Macaca fascicularis: one gene and its partners. The protein of the gene in region 5 interacts with the protein of the main gene of each other region in a pairwise test. Links are inferred from orthologs where the notes say so. Each region holds a gene or a part of one and is shown on either strand. Other genes may lie near its edges.

Evidence for each region.
Region 1: the proteins of TOX4 (region 5) and TBX6 interact in binary tests that used the Homo sapiens proteins (3 or more experiments, as listed by UniProt). The link is inferred for Macaca fascicularis from reciprocal best matches to the Homo sapiens genes TOX4 and TBX6.
Region 2: the proteins of TOX4 (region 5) and ATXN1 interact in binary tests that used the Homo sapiens proteins (3 or more experiments, as listed by UniProt). The link is inferred for Macaca fascicularis from reciprocal best matches to the Homo sapiens genes TOX4 and ATXN1.
Region 3: the proteins of TOX4 (region 5) and ZMYND19 interact in binary tests that used the Homo sapiens proteins (3 or more experiments, as listed by UniProt). The two-hybrid records come from large-scale screens. The link is inferred for Macaca fascicularis from reciprocal best matches to the Homo sapiens genes TOX4 and ZMYND19.
Region 4: the proteins of TOX4 (region 5) and BANP interact in binary tests that used the Homo sapiens proteins (3 or more experiments, as listed by UniProt). The two-hybrid records come from large-scale screens. The link is inferred for Macaca fascicularis from reciprocal best matches to the Homo sapiens genes TOX4 and BANP.
Region 6: the proteins of TOX4 (region 5) and FNDC3B interact in binary tests that used the Homo sapiens proteins (3 or more experiments, as listed by UniProt). The two-hybrid records come from large-scale screens. The link is inferred for Macaca fascicularis from reciprocal best matches to the Homo sapiens genes TOX4 and FNDC3B.

What each region holds. Positions count from the first base shown.
Region 1 is NC_088394.1:28,005,501-28,009,602, reverse strand, and holds the start of TBX6 (T-box transcription factor TBX6), read right to left. Parts: upstream 2,801-4,102; 5' UTR 2,495-2,800; exon of another isoform or gene 2,114-2,494; 5' UTR 2,066-2,113; coding exon 1,948-2,065; intron 1,865-1,947; coding exon 1,630-1,864; intron 196-1,629; coding exon 1-195. UniProt on the Homo sapiens protein: T-box transcription factor that plays an essential role in the determination of the fate of axial stem cells: neural vs mesodermal. Acts in part by down-regulating, a specific enhancer (N1) of SOX2, to inhibit neural development.
Region 2 is NC_088378.1:156,585,963-156,589,462, reverse strand, and holds part of ATXN1 (ataxin 1), read right to left. Parts: coding exon 2,337-3,500; intron 1-2,336. UniProt on the Homo sapiens protein: Chromatin-binding factor that repress Notch signaling in the absence of Notch intracellular domain by acting as a CBF1 corepressor. Binds to the HEY promoter and might assist, along with NCOR2, RBPJ-mediated repression. Binds RNA in vitro.
Region 3 is NC_088389.1:1,732,441-1,735,940, reverse strand, and holds the end of ZMYND19 (zinc finger MYND domain-containing protein 19), read right to left. Parts: intron 1,315-3,500; coding exon 1,134-1,314; intron 847-1,133; coding exon 703-846; 3' UTR 243-702; downstream 1-242. UniProt on the Homo sapiens protein: May be involved as a regulatory molecule in GPR24/MCH-R1 signaling.
Region 4 is NC_088394.1:83,853,631-83,857,730, forward strand, and holds the start of BANP (protein BANP), read left to right. Parts: upstream 1-1,300; 5' UTR 1,301-1,333; intron 1,334-1,692; exon of another isoform or gene 1,693-1,994; intron 1,995-2,021; 5' UTR 2,022-2,093; coding exon 2,094-2,114; intron 2,115-4,100. UniProt on the Homo sapiens protein: Controls V(D)J recombination during T-cell development by repressing T-cell receptor (TCR) beta enhancer function. Binds to scaffold/matrix attachment region beta (S/MARbeta), an ATC-rich DNA sequence located upstream of the TCR beta enhancer.
Region 5 is NC_088381.1:89,170,369-89,173,731, reverse strand, and holds the end of TOX4 (TOX high mobility group box family member 4), read right to left. Parts: intron 2,349-3,363; coding exon 2,185-2,348; intron 1,019-2,184; coding exon 958-1,018; 3' UTR 501-957; downstream 1-500. UniProt on the Homo sapiens protein: Transcription factor that modulates cell fate reprogramming from the somatic state to the pluripotent and neuronal fate. In liver, controls the expression of hormone-regulated gluconeogenic genes such as G6PC1 and PCK1.
Region 6 is NC_088376.1:83,827,175-83,830,674, reverse strand, and holds part of FNDC3B (fibronectin type III domain-containing protein 3B), read right to left. Parts: intron 3,402-3,500; coding exon 3,283-3,401; intron 1,501-3,282; coding exon 1,395-1,500; intron 304-1,394; coding exon 131-303; intron 1-130. UniProt on the Homo sapiens protein: May be a positive regulator of adipogenesis.

The DNA of each region.
Region 1 (4,102 bases), on a different chromosome or scaffold from region 5:
TAGCGAGCCCCGTCCACCGGAACCACGTCCAGAAGAAACAAGTAACGGGCCTCGGGGTCCAGGCCAGTGACTGACACTCGGCAGGCAGGGAACATGCGCCTGTGCAAGGGAGGGGACAGGAGAGGCCTGGTGCTACCCACTGGCCAGGGGTGGGCCCAGCACCAGTAACGGGACATAGCAGCAGGCTCCCCAGAGCTGTCAGAGAAACATCAAGGGAGGTGGAATTAGAACCCAGAGGGCAGGCCGGAGGCTGTGGCTCACACCTCTAATCCCAATACTTCGGGAGGCCAAGGTGGGAGGATCTCTTGAGTCCAGGAATTCAAGACCAGCTTGGGCAACACAGAAAGACCCCATCTCTACAAAAAATTAAAAAGTTAGCCAGGCATGGTGGCGCACACTGATAGTCCCAGTTACTATAGAGGCTGAGGCAGGAGGGTCACTTGAGCCTGGGAGGTCAAGACTACAGTGAGCCACAATTGCACCACTGCACTCCAGCCTGGGCAACAGGGCAAGACCCTGTCTCTGAAAAAGGAAAAAGGGCCAGGTGCAGTGGTTCACGCCTGTAATCCCAGCACTTTAGGAAGCTGAGGCGAGATCATGAGGTCAGAAATTTGAGACCCAGCCTGGCTAATATGGTGAAACACTGTCTCTACTAAAAATAAAAAAATTAGCCAGGTGTGGTGGTTTGTGCCTGTAGTCCCAGCTACTCGGGAGGCTGAGGCAGGAGAATCGCTTGAATCCAGGAAGCAGAGGTTGTGGTGAGCTGACGAGATAGCGCCACTGCACTCCAGCCTGGGCAACAGAGCGAGACTCCATCTCAAAAAATAAAAAAAAGAACCCAGAGGGCAGAATCTTAGATCTGGAAGGTTTTCTTGTCTCATTTTACATTTGGGGAAACAGGACAGACAGGTTAAGCGATCTGTCACACAGCAGGTTAGGAACAGAGCCATGACTCCTACCCCTCAAAGCGTATTTGCAGAAGCAGGGGTGACTAACTTTCTTGCTAGGAGCTTCCTGTCCCCACCCTCCTCTCCTCCCCTGATGTCCAGCACCAGAATCTGCAGCTTTTAGATGAATTTGCTTTAGAAAAAATATACCCTGCCTGCAGTAGGGCTGAGGACTTTCCACGCTAGGGCTTGAGCTCCTGCCCTAAAGACCTCGTCACAGGCCACACACTGACCATGTCCCTGCCTCTAGGGTGACCCTGGACCTAGATATACTGAGTCCTATTCAAGCTGCATACTGATCCCCAGTCCTGGTCAGATTTCCCTGATGCTGGTCACTGGGCTGGCCCTTGACCCCCTGTCCTTGTCTGGACACTGGTCTAGGCCACACACTAACCTATAACCCAGCAGGACTTCCTGACCCTGCCCCAGACTGACCCATGACCCTTGCCATAGATTGGTCCCTAAACTCAGCCACAGACTCCACAGACTAGCCCTTAGCCCTTGTCACAGAATGACTCCTGATTCCAGCCACAGAGTAACCCCTGTCCCAGGCCATAGTCAGATTCTAAGCCTAGGCAGAACTCTAGCCCCTAGGGAACCTCCCAGACCTAGCCCCTCCTCAGGGACTCTGCTTTTCCCAGGAGACCCCCACCAGAAACACGGACCCTGACCAGCCCCTCACCTCCCAGCTTTGGTGATGATCATTTCTGTTCCCACAGAGCTGAACTCCTTCCATAGCTCCCGGTTCTCCAGGCTCAGGCTGACCCCAGGGAGGGAATGGAGGGCCTCTGGAGCTGATGGGGCCGGTTCAGTGCCCATGGCAGGGGGCAGAAGGGGCAGAGGTGGGTGTGCGGCCAGGGTGCGGGGAGCAGCCTCCATCCCGGAGAGGAAGCAATCCAGTTTGGGGGTGTCCAGGTCTGGAAGCCGGGGAAAAATGAGGAGCCAGCCAAGGGCCCCAGCCTCCCTATTCTCCTACCCAGGAGCTGGTCCCAACGCTCACCGGGGTAGCGGTAGCCCTCTGCTAGGCCGGGTGGGAAGCTGGAGTCGGCCCCAGGTTGGGCGGGCCCCAGGCGGTAGCCGGCCCCCAGGGACGGGTACAATTCTCGTGGATGGTACATGTTGTAGTTCCGTCTGGTCTCAGGTCTCGCTGCCTAGAGCCCCCGGTGCTGCGAGATGCCCCCTTTATAGCTCACAGCTCAGCCCCTTCCAGACCCAGGATCACAGCCCCTCCCCTCTTTGGGGCCCTGGATTTGGGCTGGGGTGGAGACCCCTGGGGCCTCGAAGGGGTCCGAGCAGGGGCCGGATACCTGGGTACGGTCCCCTCCTTCCCTCCCTCCCCACCCCGGGCGGCTTCATTAGCCTCGACCCCCTGCCCCCTCATTACATAATTAACTCCTCGGCTTGATTGATCCCCGGGGCTCGGACAGGGACGCAGTTTGGCGCTTCCGGCCAGCTGGTCCCCGTTCCCACGGGGGGGAGCCCCAGCTAGGGATAAGCTGGGGGGCGGGGCATGGAGCCTGGACGGAGCCTGGAGTCCCGGGACACACCTTGGCGCCCCCGACCTTCTGGCAGGTGACCGCCCTCCGCCCCCCTTCACTTGGAGGCCGGGCCCTGGAGGGAAGCAGCATGACCAGAGGGAAAGTGCAGGCTGGAGGGATGCGGCCTGAGCTGATTTCACAGGGCACTCGGGGTCGCGAGGAGGCCGCAGCCCAGTCCCGAGCACCGTAGTCCTCCCTGGTCCCCATGCTTTAAAAAAAACCTCCACGCTGAGCCAAGCCTCCAAGGTTCGGAGGCGCGCACAGTCCGACAGCTTCTGACGCCTCGCGGCAGGGTTTCCCAGAAGGTCCCACGCTGGGGAACCCTCGGAACTACACTTCCCGGCAGGCCCAGCGTTGAGGCGCGCCCGAAAGAGCCGGATGGACCACGCGGGGGCCGCTGGAAGTTGTAGTCCGGCCGCGAGGGGGCTGCGAGGCCGGCGACGCGGTTGCCTCCCTGGGGCGCTGTCCCTAGGCGGCGGCCAAATGCTGCAGCCGAGCACACGCAGATCAGGCGAGGTCACAGCGTAGGCAGCCAGAGTGGGCTCCGGGCCTCCGCCGGCAGTGAAACCGCCCCGGTTCCTGGAGACCCAGCTTGAACGACTTGCCTACCCCATGCCCCGCCGGGTCTCAGAACCGCACAGGTCTATAGGGGCAGAAATCTCCGCTTGAGCTTCCCCTCCCCGGATTACACGCGAGCCTGAGCTGTCTCCACTCCATTGTTTTATTATGTACAAACGCTACAGAACGAGGGGGACAGACACGCGTGGGGTCAGAGGGGCTTGGTGGGAGGAGTTCACAGAGCAGACGGTGCACTGGGGCCAGGAGAGCAGAACACAGGCCATATCTATAGGGTAAGCGGGGAAGGAGGGGGTTAAAAACGAGATCCAAGCCAGCCAGATCGCAGGAGGTGCGGGGGCGTCGTCCCCCTTCTGTTCTCCCCCCAAGGTCACAGTGCATGCAATAAAATATATGTACAGGAGCTGGATCCGTCCTCTGCAGGGGCCCTGAGGGTCCAGAGCTCCCTTTGGGCGGAGGGAAGCCGGTGGCGCTCCCTGGCGGCCAGGCCGGGCTGGAGCCACATGCGTCGGGGAGCGGGGGTCAGTCCCAGCCGTTGTCTTTGATCATGTGGTTGAGTTCAATGATGTACTTCCCCTCTTTGTACTTCTGGCTGCTCTCAAAGGCCTGTTCCTGAAAGGAGGGGCGGGACCATCATCCCCGGAGCAAGTCTCACCACAAGGCACAGGGGTTGGGGAGTGGACATGAGTGGCCCCATTTTACATATGAGGAAACTGTGGCGGAGGGGCAGGGCCGCGTTTCTCACAAACACAGAGTAGAACTCCCTGACTCAAAGGTACTTTTCAAGTATTAATGATGGCTCCAACAGAGAAGATAGGGAAGTGGCTAAAAGATTTCACAGTTCAGGTTTGCAAACTGGTGGCTTCATGGCCATTTTGGCCTACAACATGTATTATATGTGGCAAACGACATATATAAACTCTCTCTTGGACAGCAGACAGTTTAATAAAAATAACTTTAAAGTATTAAAATATAATTAGGCCGTGCTCACTCCAGTTTGCCCAGCCTGCCCCCAACTCCCAACCCCTCCAGTCTATGCTA
Region 2 (3,500 bases), on a different chromosome or scaffold from region 5:
CTCATAATACAAAGAAAAGTATTCAGGGCTAAAAGCTCTCGTCAATGCGGGGCCCTGACTTTGTGCAAGCCCCCACATCCTGTCATTCAGGAGCAGTTCTGGAAAACTGATTTGGTCCTTTGCTCACTTGGGCTTTTAAAAAATGCTCAAAAAAGCCAGACATGGGGACTCGTGTCTGTAATCTCAGGGCTTTGGGAGGCCGAGGTGGAAGGATTGCTTGGAGCCCAGGAGTTTGAGACCAGCCTGGACAACACAGCAAGACCCCATCTCTACTAAAATGTTTTTTACTTTTTAAATTAGCTGGCCATGGTGGTATGCACCTGTGGTCCCAGCTACTAGGGAGGTTGGGGTGGGAGGATTGTTGGAGTCTAGGAGGTCAAGGTCACAGGGAGCTATGATTGCACCACTGCATTCCAGCCTAGGAGACAGAGAAACACTGTCTCAAAAATGAAAAAAAAAAAAAAAAAAAGCCCAAAATAATTCAAACCATTAATTACTTTATCTTTTTTTCTTGTTTTATTTTATCTGAATGTCCCAAATAGCAGCTATTGCATGACTATTTTCAACTCAAGCTGGAAGGAGGCTCTGTCCCATTTGAGTGTTTTCAAATCCTAGATGGAAACACTTGTAGAAAGTGAGCTCGATAGCCAGGAAAGCTCTCAGCTGCAGGCTGAACCTGCTGGACTCCCAGCAACTTGGGCAGTGAAAGAAACGGGCTGTGGAATAAATGCATGTAATCGATCTAAGAACCTGGAAAAGGGTGGATTGAAGGAGCCTGTGGAAACTAAGACAGCTAACCATACTTCAAGTGACTCATCTTGGCTACAGATGACTTTACCCCAAGCCCAGCAGGTCACCTGGGACAGCCCTGACTTCTCAGATTGTATTAACCATGCTTTTACTTTCTGATGCTTTGATATTTTAGGGTCTTGCGGATCCCAGAGGTATAGTCTCTCCCAGGATTAGCTAATTCCTAGAAGCCTGATTTTCATATGCAAACCAACCAGTCCAGAGCCCACTCCCCAACAGACTCCTATATTGGTCCATCACACTTGGGGCTAACATTTTTTTTTTATTTTGTCTGAGACAGAGTCTTGCTCTTTGGCCAAGCTGGAGTGCAGTGGCCTGATCTCGGCTCACTGCAATCTCCGCCTCCCGGGTTCAAGCAATTCTCCTGCCTCAGCCTCTGGAGTAGCTGGGACTACAGGCGCCCACCACCACGCCCAGCTAATTTTTGTATTTTTAGTAGAGACGGAGTTTTACCATGTTGGCCAGGCTGGTCTCGAACTCCTGACCTCTGGTGATCCACCCGCCTCAGGCTCCCAAAGTGCTGGGATTACAGGTGTGACCCACTGTGCCTGGACCTTCCACCTGTATCGATCACCCCAGCACCAGCCGCCAGACAACAAGGGACAGCCCCTATGCCCCAGAGCACACTGGAATTATCCACTCTAGCCAATCCTAAACCTGTTTATCCTGCCTCATGAAAACCACAATAAAGGCTGTTGTCTGCCATATTTTCCCTCACTCTCTCTGCCTCCTGACCCACCTGGTGCTTCCCCAGGTGCCCCCCACTTTATGGTGCTCTACACTTCTTGGTGTAGAGTGCCCCTTCCTCTCGGGATCAGAGAGTATAACAAATTATCTCATTAAAGAGAGTTGTCTCCTGATCTATCTGTCGGCCTTATCATACCTAAATAATAGTAAGACATTATATATATGTTAGAGACGGGGTCTTGCTATGTTGCCCAGGCTTGAGTGCAGTGATAGTCACAGGTTCAGCCATAGCTCACTACAGCCTCGAACTCCTGGGCTCAAGTGATCCTCCTGCCTCAGCCTCTGGAGTAGCCGGGACCAAAGGCATATACCACTGCACCCAGCATCCATTTTAAAACATGGATGTTGCAATGGGATGTGATTGCTTCAGCACCTAATCCACTCACTCCAGCGGCATCCTCTGTCTTTTCCTGGTAGGAAAAAGTGCAGAATGACCGCTGGAAGGACCTGAAGTCCAGCAGCCTTTCCTAATCGGGGTTCCTCATCCTGACCACAGAATTCAAGAAACAACTAGAGTGGTGAGTTTCTGAATTGTATCAAGGACTCCATAACTAGCCCCACTTTCCATGCATGGAGATCAATTCATTACACACAGCAGAGGTCATGGGGAAGTGGGGCTTATTTTTTCTAGAGAACGCAGTTGGGAAAGGCCGAGTCTAAGGTCTAGGTGTACCTGAGAACCCTTAATCCTGCCTCATAGAAGCAATTCGTCTTGCCAGGAGATGACGATGGCGTTGCGGTGTGGTGTCCCATCCCTGTGCCACCCGGGCCAACATTACCTGGGCTCGGTGCTCCCCGACGGCGAACTGTATCACGGCCACACCCGGGCTATGGCTGTCTTCGATCCTCTCCACGGTGCTAGAGTCGATCTTCAGGTCGTTGCTTATCTCTGCGCTCTGGATGAAATCTTCTGTTTTTAAGTCTTCCACCTTCTTTAGCTCCCCGTTGGCCAACTGGATGATGGAGCCTTTCATGAAGTAGGGAGGCAGAGTAGGGGGAGCCGCCGCCGGGGAGGCCACGGACTGCACCACGGGCAGGTGGATCTGGGCCTGCACCATGGCTGGGTAGGCGGACTGGGTGACCAGGGCCTCGGGGTTGAAGTTCTCGCTCTTGGGAAGGGCGGTGGTGACGAACGTGTGAGGCACTGCAGCAAACTGGGGGGATGACGTGACTATGGCCGGGGCTGCCCCCGACGCTTCCATGTCAGTGCTGCCCACCGGGATGAGCAGGGGCTGTGTGCCGGGTATCACCAGGTGCTGGGGCAGGCTGCCGGCGTAGGTGATTGCTTGCTGCTGGCCGCTCAGGTAGCCGATGACAGGGGGTTGAGTCCCTGCGTAGAAGGCCGTGGCTGGCAGTCCCACCGGGAGTGGCTCTGAAGCACTGTGTGTGGTCTGAATGACCGTGTGGGGTGAGAGCGCATAGGACCGGTGGCCAGGCTTCCCTAAATGCAGGCCGCTTTTGTCGTTGAGGGTGGAGGGGGAGGCCTCGCGATGAGTGGCCTGTTGCACCTCCAGGTCGGCCGCGGGCGTGTTGCTGTTGGGCAGGACCATCACAGAGGCCCGGACCCCTGAAGGATCACGACTGCTGTAGTCTGAGGGGCTCGGGTGAACCACCACGTGCCTGGACTCGTACGGGTGAGGAACCGACTTGCCACCTGCCTTGCCCAAGCCCAGGTCGGCCGAGGACGGGGCCCCGTACCGCCGGCTCTTCTCCATCTCACCGTTCAGGACCTCCTTGGCCTGGATGGCCTGCTGCAGCCGGCTGCTCTCAGCTTTCTTGGTGGCCTCCCGAGGGACAAAGTGGCTGCCGGAGTCGGCGTATTGCATGACGACCTGGGAGGGGGGCCCCAGGGTGAGCGTGTGTGGGATCATCGTCTGATGGGGGTGGAGGTGGACGGGGATGGCCGGAGGAGAGGCGGTGCGGCCGGTGCTCTGCGGAGAACT
Region 3 (3,500 bases), on a different chromosome or scaffold from region 5:
TCCCACTCCCAATGAACCAGTGGGCAGCTGACTTAGCACCTGCACCAGTCCTGCCACAAGACAAGGACAGAGTCTCACTCACGCTCACTGCTGGACTCAGGAAGTTTTGAGTTCACCTGCTCCTGCCCACCAGGAGCAAGGGCACGTCCTCCTGCCCTCACAGGGATTCGGCTCCACTCAAGATGACCTCACCCTCAGCAGCACAAGAGGGAGGCAGAGCAGAGAATGTCCGAGACGCCGGATGATTCCACCCCTTTACTTTGCCTTTGTGGACACAACTCCTGTGCAGGCCGCGCTCCATGGGGCTCCCGTGGCCCAGGGGAGAAGCTTCAGCTACAGGACAGTTTTTAGACACGTGGCCTGACCGTTTGCCATTCGAGGATTACAGCAAATGATTCTATTTGTAATTTCTACCCTTCCCATTGCCTCCCCCCAAAAAAAACTGTACATGAGTTTACAAACATATTAACATATAAATAATGAGAACCGTCCTGGTGGGAGCCTCCTTCGTTGTCTCTGCTGGAGATGAACACTGAGGGGCGCTATAACCACACAGACTGCCTGTGACATCGGGAGTCTCACAGCGGTTGTCCTGGGCCCGCAGCTGGCTTTTTCGGCACCTCCAGGTTCAACCACCAGTCTGTCTCTGCTGTGCCCAGGGTAGAGCCCGGGGGCTGCGAGTGTGTGCGGCTCTCCCGCCCGTCATCGCTCTGGCTCAAGCTCATGCTGGAAGGGACGCTTCCTCTCCCGACAGTGCTTCTTGTGGGCTGGCCAGTCCTTCTGCTGGCACTGGGAGCCACAGTACCGGGCCACCTGGCAGCGCCCACAGATGTTGAACTCCCGGAGCTGAAATACAGAACACTTGTGGCTTCACCGTCATGCCTGGGATGCAGTGTGGGGCAAAGACTGCATCGCACGGACAATCTGACGGACCCAGCAAAACACCATGTACCAAGGCTGGAGGGCCTGGGCCCTGGTCAGGCCAGCACAAGGGCAAAGGGAGACCACCCTGGTGGAAAAGCCCAAGTGGTCTCCGGGGAATGGGGCCCTGCGGTAGGAGGGCAAGACCCCAAACCAAGGCTGGGCTACAGGGTAGAGGTGCCAAGGACCAGGCCGCACTGCAGCACACCCACCTGCTTCTCAATCACCGTGCAGGGAGGGTAGTGGCACTCGTAGTAGGTGCAAGAATTCTCCTCCTCTTCCACTACATCCCCGTTGGCATTATAGTACCGGGTCACATTTAGGACAGGAAACTGTTCTTCTATAGGGTCTGTAGGCAGCTGCTGAATTGCAAGCCAATACAAGCTTTGCTCCCTTAAAGAAAGAAGCAGACACTTCAGTGCACTCTGGCCAAATGGGGCCAGCACACGGCGGGTGATGTGATGAGTCCAGAGAGTGCCATCCTGCCCAGGACACCCGGCCCGAATTCCAGTCTCCTCTGGCGCATCCCTGCTGCATGTGCTTTTCACCACCTGACAGTAAATATTGTGTCTCGTCTTCCCACTCACCCATAAGCACCGCCTCATCTGTCACCCTGTCCCCAGCACCTGGGACTGATAGGCACACAGTAGGCAGGAGGCAGTGCCCAGGTCAGGCCCCTGCACAAAGCAAGGCAGCCCCTCTCCTTGCCCTTGACCTGCAGAGGTGCCCATTACTGCCCCGTCGGTCCACCTCCCCTTCCATGCCGGGAGCTGCCCTACGTTCATCTGTACACGTGTTGTACAGAACAGGCCCTGGAGCGAGCACTGGCTGCTCAGAGGCAAGTGTGGGCAGCCCCAGCCCTGCTGCATCACAGAGTAAAGGAGCTGCATAAACCACCCCAACAACCCTGTTCTCTGAGGCCAGACCCTGAGGAGACTTGGTTAAAAGGTGGAAGGATCAGGACACGGGAAGATGTTAGTGAGGTCCCACCAGACAGAGGCAAGTTTCAGACACTGCTGGCTTCTGAAGACAGAAAAGGAAAACACCCCTTTGCCAACAGGCCCCTTTTGTGGGGGCTGAGCTGACACAGTGCCAGGAAAGGAGAGCAACAGCCCAGGCCTGACAAAGACAGGGTGACCCCATCACAAAGAGCCAGACCACAGGGAGGCCACAAACTGGGATCCAGAAGGACGCACAGCACCCAGCCATTCAGGACGTCAGGCCCACACTGGCTAGCTGACTTCTGCTTGTGGCCTGGGGTGCTGACCCAGCACAAGAGGCCCAATACCTGCTGGGTTCTAAAACCCCATGTTGGCAAACCAAAGATGGCCGAGCCTGATCAGTCCTGAGCCACCGCAGGCCACCTCCTGCAGCAGGGGGTTGTATAAGGCCGCAGCCTCAGCGCAACTCATCCTGCCGTGCCCACGGAGAATGGGCTGACCAGGAGCATCAGCTCAACACCCCCTTTCCAAGCAGCTATTCTTAACGGCAGTTATCTCCCCTCCTGACTAGGAAGGGTGCTGAGAGGATTCAAGGTAACATTCAGTCACAGGCTGGCCGGACCCTGAGTCTTATTGACAACCAGCTGAAATGACCTGTACCACGGCAGGGACAGATGACATCGCCTGGTGGAGTGGTGGGCAGTGGGGGAACTTGTGGAGTCGGGGAGGGCCCATCCCAGCATCAACACTGAGCATGTATCAATGTGGGACAACGCAGGAGGAGATGCTACGGATGCTGCTTTGCCTGCCACGCACTCCTTCCCCTTCCCGTGGATGACACAACTCTGACTTCATGTAGAGAAGTGATGCAAAGCATGCTAACTACAGTTCATCCCAGGGCTTCCCCAGACACCACCAGAACAGGGTGCCTGCTTCACTCCACAGGTGCTGGGTAGTGCGCATGCCGCCTCTCGGAGAGGAGCCGGGAGTGGGGGCGCAGAGCTGGAGGCAGCAGCATCCCTGGCTCTCCACATTTCAGTCAGGATACCAAAACGTACCCTATTTTGTTTCAGCCAAATTGAGCTGTTTCTGTTTCTTGCAACCCAAAGTTCCGGCTAACATAATCCCCGAAAGAAAAAAAAATCCCATCCAACAATCATAAGAGGATTGGCGTCACTCACAAGCAGTATGAGAGAAGGGTCAAAACTCTAATATTAGAGCAGGGACCGGGCATGGTGGTGCACACCCGTTATCTCAGCTACTCAAAAGGCTGAGGCGGGGCCAGGCGTGGTGGCTCACACCTGTAATCCCAGCACTGTGGGAGGCTGAGGCAGGCGGATCATCTGAGGTCAAGAGTTCAAGACAGCCTGGCCAACATGCCGAAATCCTGTCTCTACTAAAAATACAAACGTTAGCCAGGCGTGGTGGCGGGCACCTGTAGTCCCAGCTACTAGGAAGGCTGAGGCAGAACTGCTTGAACCAGGCAGGCAGAAGCTGCAGCGAGCCAAGATCGCGCCACTGCACTCCAGCCTGGGCGACAGAGCCAAACTCCGTCTCAAAAAAAAAAAAAAAAAAAGGCCGGGCGCGGTGGCTCAAGCCTGTAATCCCAGCACTTTGGGAGGCCAAGACGGGCGCATC
Region 4 (4,100 bases), on a different chromosome or scaffold from region 5:
TGAAAATAGCTCCCTTGCCCTGTGCTTGGGAGATCAAAGGCATTCTTGCTCATTGCAAATAATTCAGAAAACAGGAGTATAAAGAGGAAAATGAAAGACAAGGTAATTCTAGATAAGCAGAGGGAGATAACCAGAAATGACATTTCTGGGAATTGCCCTATAGTTTGGGATTTTTTTCCTATGATTACCCACAAATGCACATTTATTCTACATAAACGATAACGTGCGCACATTCACGCCATCACTTTTTAATTTTTTTAGAGACAGAGTCTCGCTCCGTCGCCAGACTGGAGTGCAGGGGCGCGATCTCGGCTCATGGCAACCTCCGACTCCCGGGCTCAAGCGATTCTCCTGCCTCAGCCTCCCGAGTAGTTGGGATTACAAGGTGCGCGCCACCAGGCCAGGCATAATTTTTGTACTTTCAGTAGAGAGGGGGGTTTCGCCATGTTGGCCACGCTGGTCTCGAACCTCCACCTCAGGTGATCCGCCCACCTCGGCCTCCCAGAGGGCTGGGATTACTGGCGTGAGCCACTGTGCCCGGCCGCCATCACTTATTTATACTATGTGTTAGCTGTAGGACATATCTAAGACCATGGTCACTGCTGTGCGTGCTAACTCCCGCGCGCGTGCACTCAGGCCCCTCCGGACAGACGCTGGGGACCCCTGACCACTTATGTCTGGGAAAACGCCACCAAGCGCTCCGGAACCTCAGGGCAGGATCCGCCGCAGCAGCAGGCAGGACCCGCTGGGGGCGCACAGCCCACCTGAGACATTGTAACTACAAGTCCCAGCAACCCTTGGTGCGGGGACAAGACGGACGACCGGAGTCCGGAGAGACTACAAGTCCCGGCAGGCATGGCCCAGACGAAGGGACTACGAGTCCCCGAATGCATGGCTCCCCGCTTGCGCAGGGCACCCTGGGAGGTGTAGTCGTTGAGGGAGCTAATGCCTATTCATTCCGTCTCAAAGAAGATGCAAATTCCTCACACCGTCCACTGAGGTGATTTTTCTCAGGCAGGCCACGTGCGTGGGCGAAAAACGGGGGGAAAAAACCCTGGGAAGCCGGTACCATCGCGGAAGAAGGCCGCCTGCGCATGCTCACCAGGAGGCCGAGCGGGAAAAGCGCGCGCAGCTGGCCTCCCTGCCCGCAAGGGGCCTCGCCCCAGCCCCGCCCCCGGCCCCGCGCGCCCGGTGAGCCTGCGCAGAGGGCGGGGGCAGAGCGTCGCGGGGAGGGGCTCGCGGCGCCTGCGCAGAGCGGCGGCTTCTCTCGCGAGGACGGACGCCATTATCGCATCTCCCCGACAAACACCACGAGAATTCCGCAGCCCACACGGTAATTGCAGCTCCCGCAGCCGGTCGCGCCTCCGCCTCCCCCTTCCCGCGGGGCGAGAGCGAGAGCGAGATCTCCCTCCTCCCTCCTCCTCCCGCCCGCCGGGCCGCCCGCGCCGCAGCCCCGCCGCCTCCAACCGCCCGGGCCGGGCGAGCGCCCCCCAGGCCCCGCTCCCCGTCCCCGGCCGCGCCCCGGAAGAGGGGCTCCCGCTTCCTCGCTTCCGCACCCCCGGCCCCGCCGCGCCCCGGCGTCCGTTGAGCCGCGGCTGCCGCAGCCCGGCCCGGGGGCCTCGCGCTCCCGACCTCTGCCCCGGGCCTAGCCCCGCGGGAAGGACCCGGGGCCACGGCGGGGAGACTGGAAGGGCCTAGAACCGCGCCCGGGCTCCTCTGGGGACCGAGTCTCCCAAGGGGTCGCTCCTGCTAGCCAGCCGGGAGCGACAGGCACCGTTTTTGTGCCTCCTCCGTGGCTGTGGACTGGAGCCCCATAGCCCGGGACTCGCACATGCAAGTCTCTGGCGAGGCAGCGGAAGGGACGATCCCGGGGCGACCGCCGACCCCGGCGAGGACCCCAGCCCGTCCCCCTAGGTGCCCCGATGAACGAGGACTTCGGGGTGCCCCCTCCCCAGCACGTTTGTGCGATTTCTGTGATCTAGTCCTTAAGAAAGGTGGCCGTTTTTTTTTTTTCCCCCTAGGATGCAGGAAGTAGATGACATTCCATCCACACTGTGTGAGCAAATTGGAGAGAGTACCTTGATAGAGGACTGATGTTTTTCACTGATGAGATGGTAGGGGTTGCCTTGCTATTGGAGAAATACATCATCCCTGAAGAACTGTGAGCAAGTGGAGCGAGTGTGGGCTTTGAAGGGTAGCGAGCTTGCACCCTGACCGGGGAGGGCGCGGGTCACGCAGTTGTTGATGTGGAACAGATAATTGCCCTGTTTGGAGTTGCCTGTTCTGCCCAGGAACGTACTCCAGGGCCTGATGGCGATGGCAGAACTATAGTAAATAATAAGAGGAGGCAGTCGTAGGGGCCACTTTTAGCTGGAAGTTCTTGGGGGACAGAAAAATAACTTGGAGTAGTGAGTGGTTCTGAGTAAGCTCAGGAAACAGCAAAGAAAAACTGGATCTGGTCATTTAACACGCAGCTCGCAAATATCCTGTGCTAGAAGAAAACACCAAAACGCGGTAAAATTCTGTGTGTAGGTCCACTTCCCGTGTCTGGCAATTAAAATAAGAATATATTCTTGCGATGTTGGATTCTGTCATCATTGGCTTTAGTATTTTTATTTTTTGGAGATAGGGTTTCACTCTGTCCCCGGGGCTGGAATGCAGTGTGGTGATCTTGGCTCACTGCAGCCTCGGCCTCCCTGGCTCAAGTGATCCTCCCACCGCAGCCTCCCGAGTAGCTGGGACCACAGGCACCACCACCCCTGGCTAATTTTTGTATTTTTGTATTTTAGAGGGGGTTTCGCTTGTTGCCCAGGCTGGGGCTTTAATCTTTTTAAAAAAGAGCATCCATTTGTGATCCACGCTGCTTGGGGGCAGCTCAACATCTCGGGTGCTTCACCATGACCCGGGAGGCAGAGGCTGCCCCCACTTTATAGATGAGGTGGCCAGGCCCGCAGACACTTAAGGGACTTGCTCAGATGTACAGAGCCAGGGTTCAAATTCAGTCTATTTGAAGCCTATATATTTAGTATTTTAATTAATATAATGTGTACAATAGGAACATCAGTGAAAGACTTACAATGAAAAGCAGTGGTCCCCTGCCCCACCTCTCAGCCCCATTCTTCAAAGAGGTTTACATCTTGAGTGGTTTCTTTAGGTCATTCTTTATAGCTCTAAGTAAGCTGATCTTTTTCATTTTTTTCTTGAGATAGGATCCCCAGATGTTGGCCAGGCCGTACTTGAACTCCTGAGCTCAAGTGATCCTCAGCTTCCTTAGTAGCCGTTAATACAAGTGTGAGTGACTGCACCTAGTTCTAAGCTGCTACTTGGTTTTACACAGTCTTGACTTTCTGTTACCATGGGGTGATGGAGCCCTTCTGTCATATCCCACCTCTTCTATCCCCTGGACTGTGTGTGTCAGGCCTATGTAAATACTGTTCTCTTCACAAATTGAGTGTTTCCCTTCCTGTACAGCATGTTTTTTTTCTGTTAGTCATGGCTTTTCTCTTGGCACTTTCTGTTCCCATCGACTCCTTGCATTGTTTTAAATGATCTCAAGGATAGTGTCAGGTCCCCTTCCTCCTTCAGCCCCTAACCTTTTTCTCATCTGGATGGGTTATTCTTTAGCCTGCAGACGAGCCAACCTGATACTTCTTGCGGCTGGGTGCGTTCAGAAATGTTTTCATCTCGGCTTTGTTCATTTCCACAGGACGCTCTGGCAGGTGCTCTTCCTCTGTGGAGACCCTTCTCCCTCCCTGAACGCTCTTGGATCCTCTCTTTGGTGTTAATGACATTTTACCGTGTGCTGAGGTGTGTGGATTCCTACTCCGGGGACTCTTTGACTCTGGTGCCTTGTCCTTCAGCTCTGGGGAGTTGCCTTGTTCTGTCTGAGAAGTTCTTCCTCTCCAGCTCTGCTCTTCTGTCTTAGGAGTTCCTGTTTGTGATGGACGTTCTAGATGGACCCCTGGAGTTGCATCTTTATCCTTCCTTCTGTGTCTTGTTTATTCTCATTTCTGGGAGAGGGCTTTCATATGTCTTCACAATCAAATTTTTAATTTCCAAGCATGTATTTGTCTTGTTCCTTTTTCACAGTAGCTTATTGT
Region 5 (3,363 bases):
AAAACAAAACAAAAAAAACCCCACAGAAAACAGGAATGCATAGGATAAAACTATGTACATGGTTGGTTGAGGAGGAGGTTCTCTAGGAGAGCGTTTCCTGTTTTACAGACAGTAAAAATTTGAGTTTTATTTAAGGTTATCACCACTTGGACTATCGTGCTGTAAACTTCTGCTTATGCTGTTACAACTAGGTGGCTTTTCTGTTTTTCATTAGATTATGTCCAAGAAATAATGATAGATCTATGATCTTTTGAAGATATTGCATCAAACACAAGTGAATACAACTTTAGACTTTGGTAAAACCTCTTACTAATGATGTAGTTTTGCCTCTTAGATTCATGAATTGTGATAACTCAGATAAGGATGGTAACTGCAGAAATAATATATATATAAAGAGAAATAAACTCCTGGGTGATGTCATTTTCCATGTGGCCCAGTGTGCCTGTGTTGAAAAGTTTTGTTCTCAAAGCAGTGTATTGATGTGATAATGGGGAATAACATTTTTTTTTAAGAGGGAACCTTTAATATAATCTTTTAGCCCTTTTAAAATGGATACAGTGGTGTTTTCTCCTAGGCTCAAAGCTGAGTACACTCCTGTAATTTTAATAATATTTTAGGCAAGTCCTATGACAATTATACCAACAAGTTTCTTCAACCCCACCACCACCCCTACCATACCTATGCTTTGCTTGCCCATACTCCCTTCACCCTTTCCTCTGCTATTACCACTGGTATTTCTGCTTGTGGTTGAAAATAAAAAGCATCTCCAGATTGCAGCAAATTCAGTGGCCCTGCTCCACAGCCTGGCCTCTGCTGAAGGAAGAAAAGGGGTGAAACATGAATGGCCATCATGGGTTGTGATCAGGCACTACCAGAAGCCCAGCTTGTGTTTCAAAAACAGGCTCTTGAACATGTTCCCAGAAGATAACTCTTCACTGGCTTGGAGAACAGGAAGGACTATTTCACAAACACCACTGTGTTTGAATTTCTAGAGGCTACCCAGGCCAAGAATACATCCCTAAGAGAGAAAAAGACACACAAACAGAATTATACACAAACTGAAACAGAATTACAGCCTACTTTTTTTTTTTTTTTTTTTTTTTGAGATGGACCTCCCGGGTTCATGCCATTCTCCTGCCTCAGCCTCCCGAGCAGCTGGGACTACAGGCGCCTGCCACCACGTCCGGCTAATTTTTTGTATTTTTAGTAGAGACGGAGTTTCACCGTGTTAGCCAGGATGGTCTCGATCTCCTGACCTTGTGATCCACCCGCCTCGACCTCTGAAAGTGCTGGGATTACAGGTGTGAGCCACCACGCCCAGTCGCTACATTCTTTTTATCTGTCTTTTTTTTTATTTTTGAGACAGAGTCTCGCTGTTGCCCAGGCTAGAGTGCAGTGGCATTATCTCCTTGGCTCACTGCAACCTCCGTCTCCCAGGGTCAAGAGATTCTCCTGCCTCAGCCTCCTGAGTAGCTGGGACTATAGGCGCCCGCCACCATGCCCAGCTAATTTTTGTATTTGTAGTAGAGATGGGGTTTCACCACATTGGCCCAGCTGGATTTTTTTTATCAGTCTTAAGCAAATAGGTTCCCAGATAATTTCCTGCAGCATATGGTTAGATAGTATCACCTTAGAAATATAAGAACAGTGGGCTTAAAAGTCAGAAGTAGAGGCAATGCTAATTTACTGTAGAGTTTTTGAAATAGGAAATAGAAATGCCTTGTCCTACAGCTATAGGTAATTCCCAGAGAAATTTGGGGAAAGGGGTAAAATCTTCCAAATTTCTCCCCATTTCCCTCACAAATTGCAAATTATCATATGCTACTTTCCACTTACCATTTCTCCCCAAATTCTAATTCCCTAAGTCTGATTTGCACTAAGGATTGAAAAGCTAGTATTTGCAAACACTAACAACCTAATGTATTATCACATTTTTAAAGAGCATAGAGAGGTATGTGGTAACTGAAAAATGTGAACTGCTGATTACGTCATCTTTGGCTATGTGGCAAATGTAAGCTCTTAAGCAGGGGCGCTTTTCTAGTATGCCAGATAGACATACAGCAACCTACTCTACCTAAAGTAAGGTGACACTGAGATGTTGATTTTATGCTCAAGATTACCATGTTTCCCAACAGAATTAATTGACCAGTATCTGAATTATAAAAGGGGGAACTGTAAGCTCACCTGCAATGCTTCACCACACACTCATTGCTGCAGTATTCATTGTCCCAGTCCTTACTCACAATGGGAGGGTTCTCACAACCAGACCTCACACATCGAGGCTGGGGTGAGAGTGCCACAGGAGACCCACTCACCAATTCAACATCCATCTGAGAAGGAGACTCAACCTGTGAGAGGAAGAGAGTACCAAAGTGGATTAAATTGCTCCCTGCCTAGCTAGCTAGTTGAAACCAATGAAGCAAAGGGTATTACAATTCCTCACACTGGGGGTAAAACTGGAGAAGGTGAGTTCTTGGTCTCCCCCTCAACAGTCTAGCTTCAGAACTTTGCCAAGCAGAATGACGGAAGATTTTTCCCATCAGGAGAAAGGTGGGCATGTGGTAATGCTTTTTTTCCCCCTTAAGCCTGGCTAGTCAAGTATAGTACTGGGAATAAAGAGGTAGTCCTTTTTTTGTTTGTTTTTTTTGAGACGGAGTCCTGCTCTGTCTCCCAGGCTGGAGTGCAGTGGCGCAATCTCGGCTCACTGCAAGCTCCGCCTCCCCAGTTCATGCCATTCTCCTGCCTCAGCCTCCTGAGTAGCTGGGATTACAGGCACCTGCCACGACGCCTGGCTAATTTTTTGTATTGTTAGTAGAGATAGGGTTTCACCACGTTGGCCAGGCTGGTCGCGAACTCCTGACCTCAGGTGATCCACCTGCCTTGGCCTCCCAAAGTGCTAGGATTACAGACGTGAGCCACCACGCCCGGCCATATTTATGTGTTTTAAAAAACAATGGTATGAACCAATTAAATTTTTCTGGCTATACCCTCTGCCCCACACACATTTAAAACATCAAGCTAAGGAACTTAAGACCCAGGATAAACGAAAAGCTTTATATGTCCAAAGTTTAAGATCCTTGGGTAAACAACTCTGAAAAATAACTGTTTAGGCTATATCCTGTCCAGCTGAACTAGTGGCCGCTGCTTAGTTAAGGAGTGGTCCTTATCTTAATGTATCTCACTAAAAACACTATGGGGTACGCGGTGGCTCAAAGCCTGTAATCCCTGCACTCTGGGAGGCCGAGGCGGGCGAATCACGAGGTCAGGAGTTCAAGACCAGCCCAACCAACATGGTGAAACTCCGTCTCTAGTTAAAAATACAAAAAATTAGCTGGGTGTAGTGGCGATTACCTGTAATCCCAG
Region 6 (3,500 bases), on a different chromosome or scaffold from region 5:
CTGCATTAATGGTTGTCAAGGTTGCATTAAGACTGCCAAAAATTTCAGGAGGCTGGAGACAGAAGTGCTAGCACTTTGGGTTCTGACTATGCATTCTGATTCTGGTTACAGTGTATGGGCTTATACTCACCCCTCCATCATTCAGAGCCCGCACCCGGAAGCGATACACGGTTCCAGGAAGCAGGTTACCGACAGTGCACTCCAGCTCTGGGCCGTGGTACACCTCCGAGGCTACGTCTTCGGGCTCCGTCATCTCCACGCTGTACTCTGAGACCTCACAGCCACTTTCAGATGCAGGAACATCTGGGAATGAAAAATTATTTTCATCTTAGAACACTTTGTACTTCCAGTTGACCAAACTGCACCAGATTTCACACAAGTTGTGCAAAATATCACATAGGTGGCCTGTCCTCAGTATCTCCCTTACAAAAGAATCCCTGCCCACCAAATCTTAGAACACTTTGTACTTCCAGTTGACCAAACTGCACCAGATTTCACACAAGTTGTGCAAAATATCACATAGGTGGCCTGTCCTCAGTATCTCCCTTACAAAAGAATCCCTGCCCACCAAAAAGAGATATAAAAATAAAAGTTTCTGAATGATGTTATCCATACTCTCCAAAGCAAGTCCATTGAAGTTTATTTAATTACATTGATAAAATAATCCCCAAATCATAGGAACATTAGATATATTTCTTCATATTTTAATGCTAGGTAAATGGAAGAAAAAGAAGGAAGAAAAATCTCTTTAATTTGAAACCAAAGGTCATATTAAATCAAAATACAGGACCCCAGGTTGGCACAATTTATTATACTTTAGACATAAGTGGTGGGAAAAAATAGTCTGCTAGAGAGTTCTGTACATTTGTATTTATAATTATACATGTTGTAAACAGCTTGGCACAACAAAAACGCTAATACAGTTTAAGTCAACGCTGTAAAAACATCAGGACCCACACAGGACAATGCAGCAGAGGTGGTTACACACAGAGACGAGGAAGAATTCCATGTGATCTTATAAACTATTCTTTGGTTTAATTTCTAAATTGAGTACAAAATTTTTTTCCCATTAATAAAGTTGAAAACTTTCTGAAAAAGACTGGCTGTTCTTGAAATACTCCCTAGAAAAGTGTCCCCTGAAGTGTGGGGGATAAACCAGGTGTGTGGCACCATCAGGAAGAGGAGGATGAGGGACAGTGTTGGGGGTGTGGATGGGGGGAATGACACACATAAAAAACCTGGGTCAACATACTTCAAGAGGAATATGGACATCTTCAACAGACAAAAACATACGTGGTCTTTAGAAGAAAGCTTTGAAACTTAACTACAAAGCGTAAGTCTTCATCTCCGATTGTCCAAACTACCAATGTCAACGGGAAGGTTTGTTCACTCACCCCACTCTAAGTGGACTTCTTTGTGCTTTGGTCTACCCAAAACCCTCGGTGGTCGACACTGACCTGGTGCAATGCTTAGTGTGCGAACAGGGAGACTTTCAGAACACTGCAGGAGAAACACCAGAGAGAACCATCTCTTAGTTACTGTGAATTTATCAGACCTCTACATATCAGGCAAATTCCACCCCATAACTGCAAATGTTACCGAAAAGGGGTTACACACTAAATGTGTGCACATTATGGGAAGCTTTTAATGCAATTAAGATCTTCATATAAATGTATGTGTGTGTGTTTTAAGGGTGGTTATAGACTTCATATGGCACTGGGAAAAACAAAAATGATTATTTTTGAAGTTAGATTAGCAGACATGAGTACTATATATCCTAAGCAATTCTTTTCCTTTAATTCAAAATTAGAAAGACCCTTCATGAGGACAGAAGAGAACACAAAACGACATCTGGATGAAATTTTAAAATGGTACCATAAGTGGCCAACCATTCACATACAGAGCAGAAAAGCAAATAAACTCAATATTAATCAATTGATTCTGACATTAACCAGCAGGCACTGTTAACGCTAAAATAAGTAGGCCTTTATTTTGCAGGATCTGGTTGTGTAAGGCTAGTGATATGGAAGCTGACCCGATTCCTGAGACAGGAGAAAATCAGGTAGAGCTATATAGCTCAGCCACATTCAATTTTCTCCCTGAGAAGTGGCACAGAGGAAATGACCTCTATGCATTTGAGCAGTTCAGACTCAGTGACACCTTGTGTAGTGCTTCACACATAGGAAGTACCACTGATAATCTCAGCTTTGATTTGGATTTACTCCACCCTGGGAGGCACTCCAGAAAGCTTCGGCACTGTATAAAGATGGTCCAGCGGGACCTTCTCCTCACAGGGAGTGTCTACATGGGCAGTCTAGATGTCCTAGTACCATCCTTGGGGGCAAAAGAAAGTAAACACAAAAACTGATGTTGCAAGTGGGTTGACTAGAAAAATCAGGCATTCAAACGGCAGGTATTCTCTTGAAAAGTCAACCCAGCACAGGGCTGTAAGCCACCATCTCTCCTTCTCTTTCATTCTAAATTATTAGTGGTTTCAAATCATAATGTTAAATATCTCTACAGTGAAAGTATCTTTTGGCATCTCATTTCTCACTCAGTTTTCTGAGTGTAAGTTAAAACCATTTAGATAACAATTATTTCATTTCTAGAGTACTCCATGTATATTTATTAGGTTGTTTTGAGCCTATGAGAGTACAATGTGGTTGAAACTAAGACTCCTGACATGTTAACTGGTTAGTCTGAGGTCATATAAATAGTAGAAACAAAAGAATGGATCTTGCCTACAGATGTGTACGTTGGGTACCACAAAACTTGAGGAGGTGCCATTCAGCTCAGTCATCATGGATTTACATTGTTTTTACAACAACTTTCCAGCAGATGGCAGTAAAGTACCCTGAGGAAGGTATGTCTCAAATTCTTAAAATTGATAGACGTGATTAACAGCAGTGCTGCACAGGTCTCATCTTTTAACTAGAAATTCTATAGTTTTTTAATCATTGCAATAACCGAGGTCTCCTTTATTTAGTCAATGCAAATTCCAGATAATTTTCAACCGTCACAGGTGATTACGTCAAAGACTTCTGAGAAATAAGTGAGTGACAAATGTACCTGAAAATACCACAATTCAGTAGGGAATCATTTAGGCCTATCTTATACCTTTAAAGAGCAATTCAAAAAGCTCTATTTTTCATTTCCTGACTTGATACTATCAGGTTGCATTACCAAGATACATTGTTTAAACTGCAATTTGATTCTGATGTTACAGACAGCTGGTCTGAATTTGATCAAAGAGGTTTACTTTCATATGGAAACAAAACCAACCTGGCTGTGTCCACCGGTACTGATGCAGCACGCTCGGAGTTTGTACAAAGTGCCTGGTTTCAAGTGGGTGAAGGTGTATTCAGTAGCCGACCCGCTGTAGGCCACTTCCCACTGATTCGCTGTAAAACAAGACTTATGCATGACTTTATGCCTCTTGTAAAAAATGGAGTATATCAGCCATTGCTGACAAGAAAAAGCTCTATGTTTTCAGGAAAGCC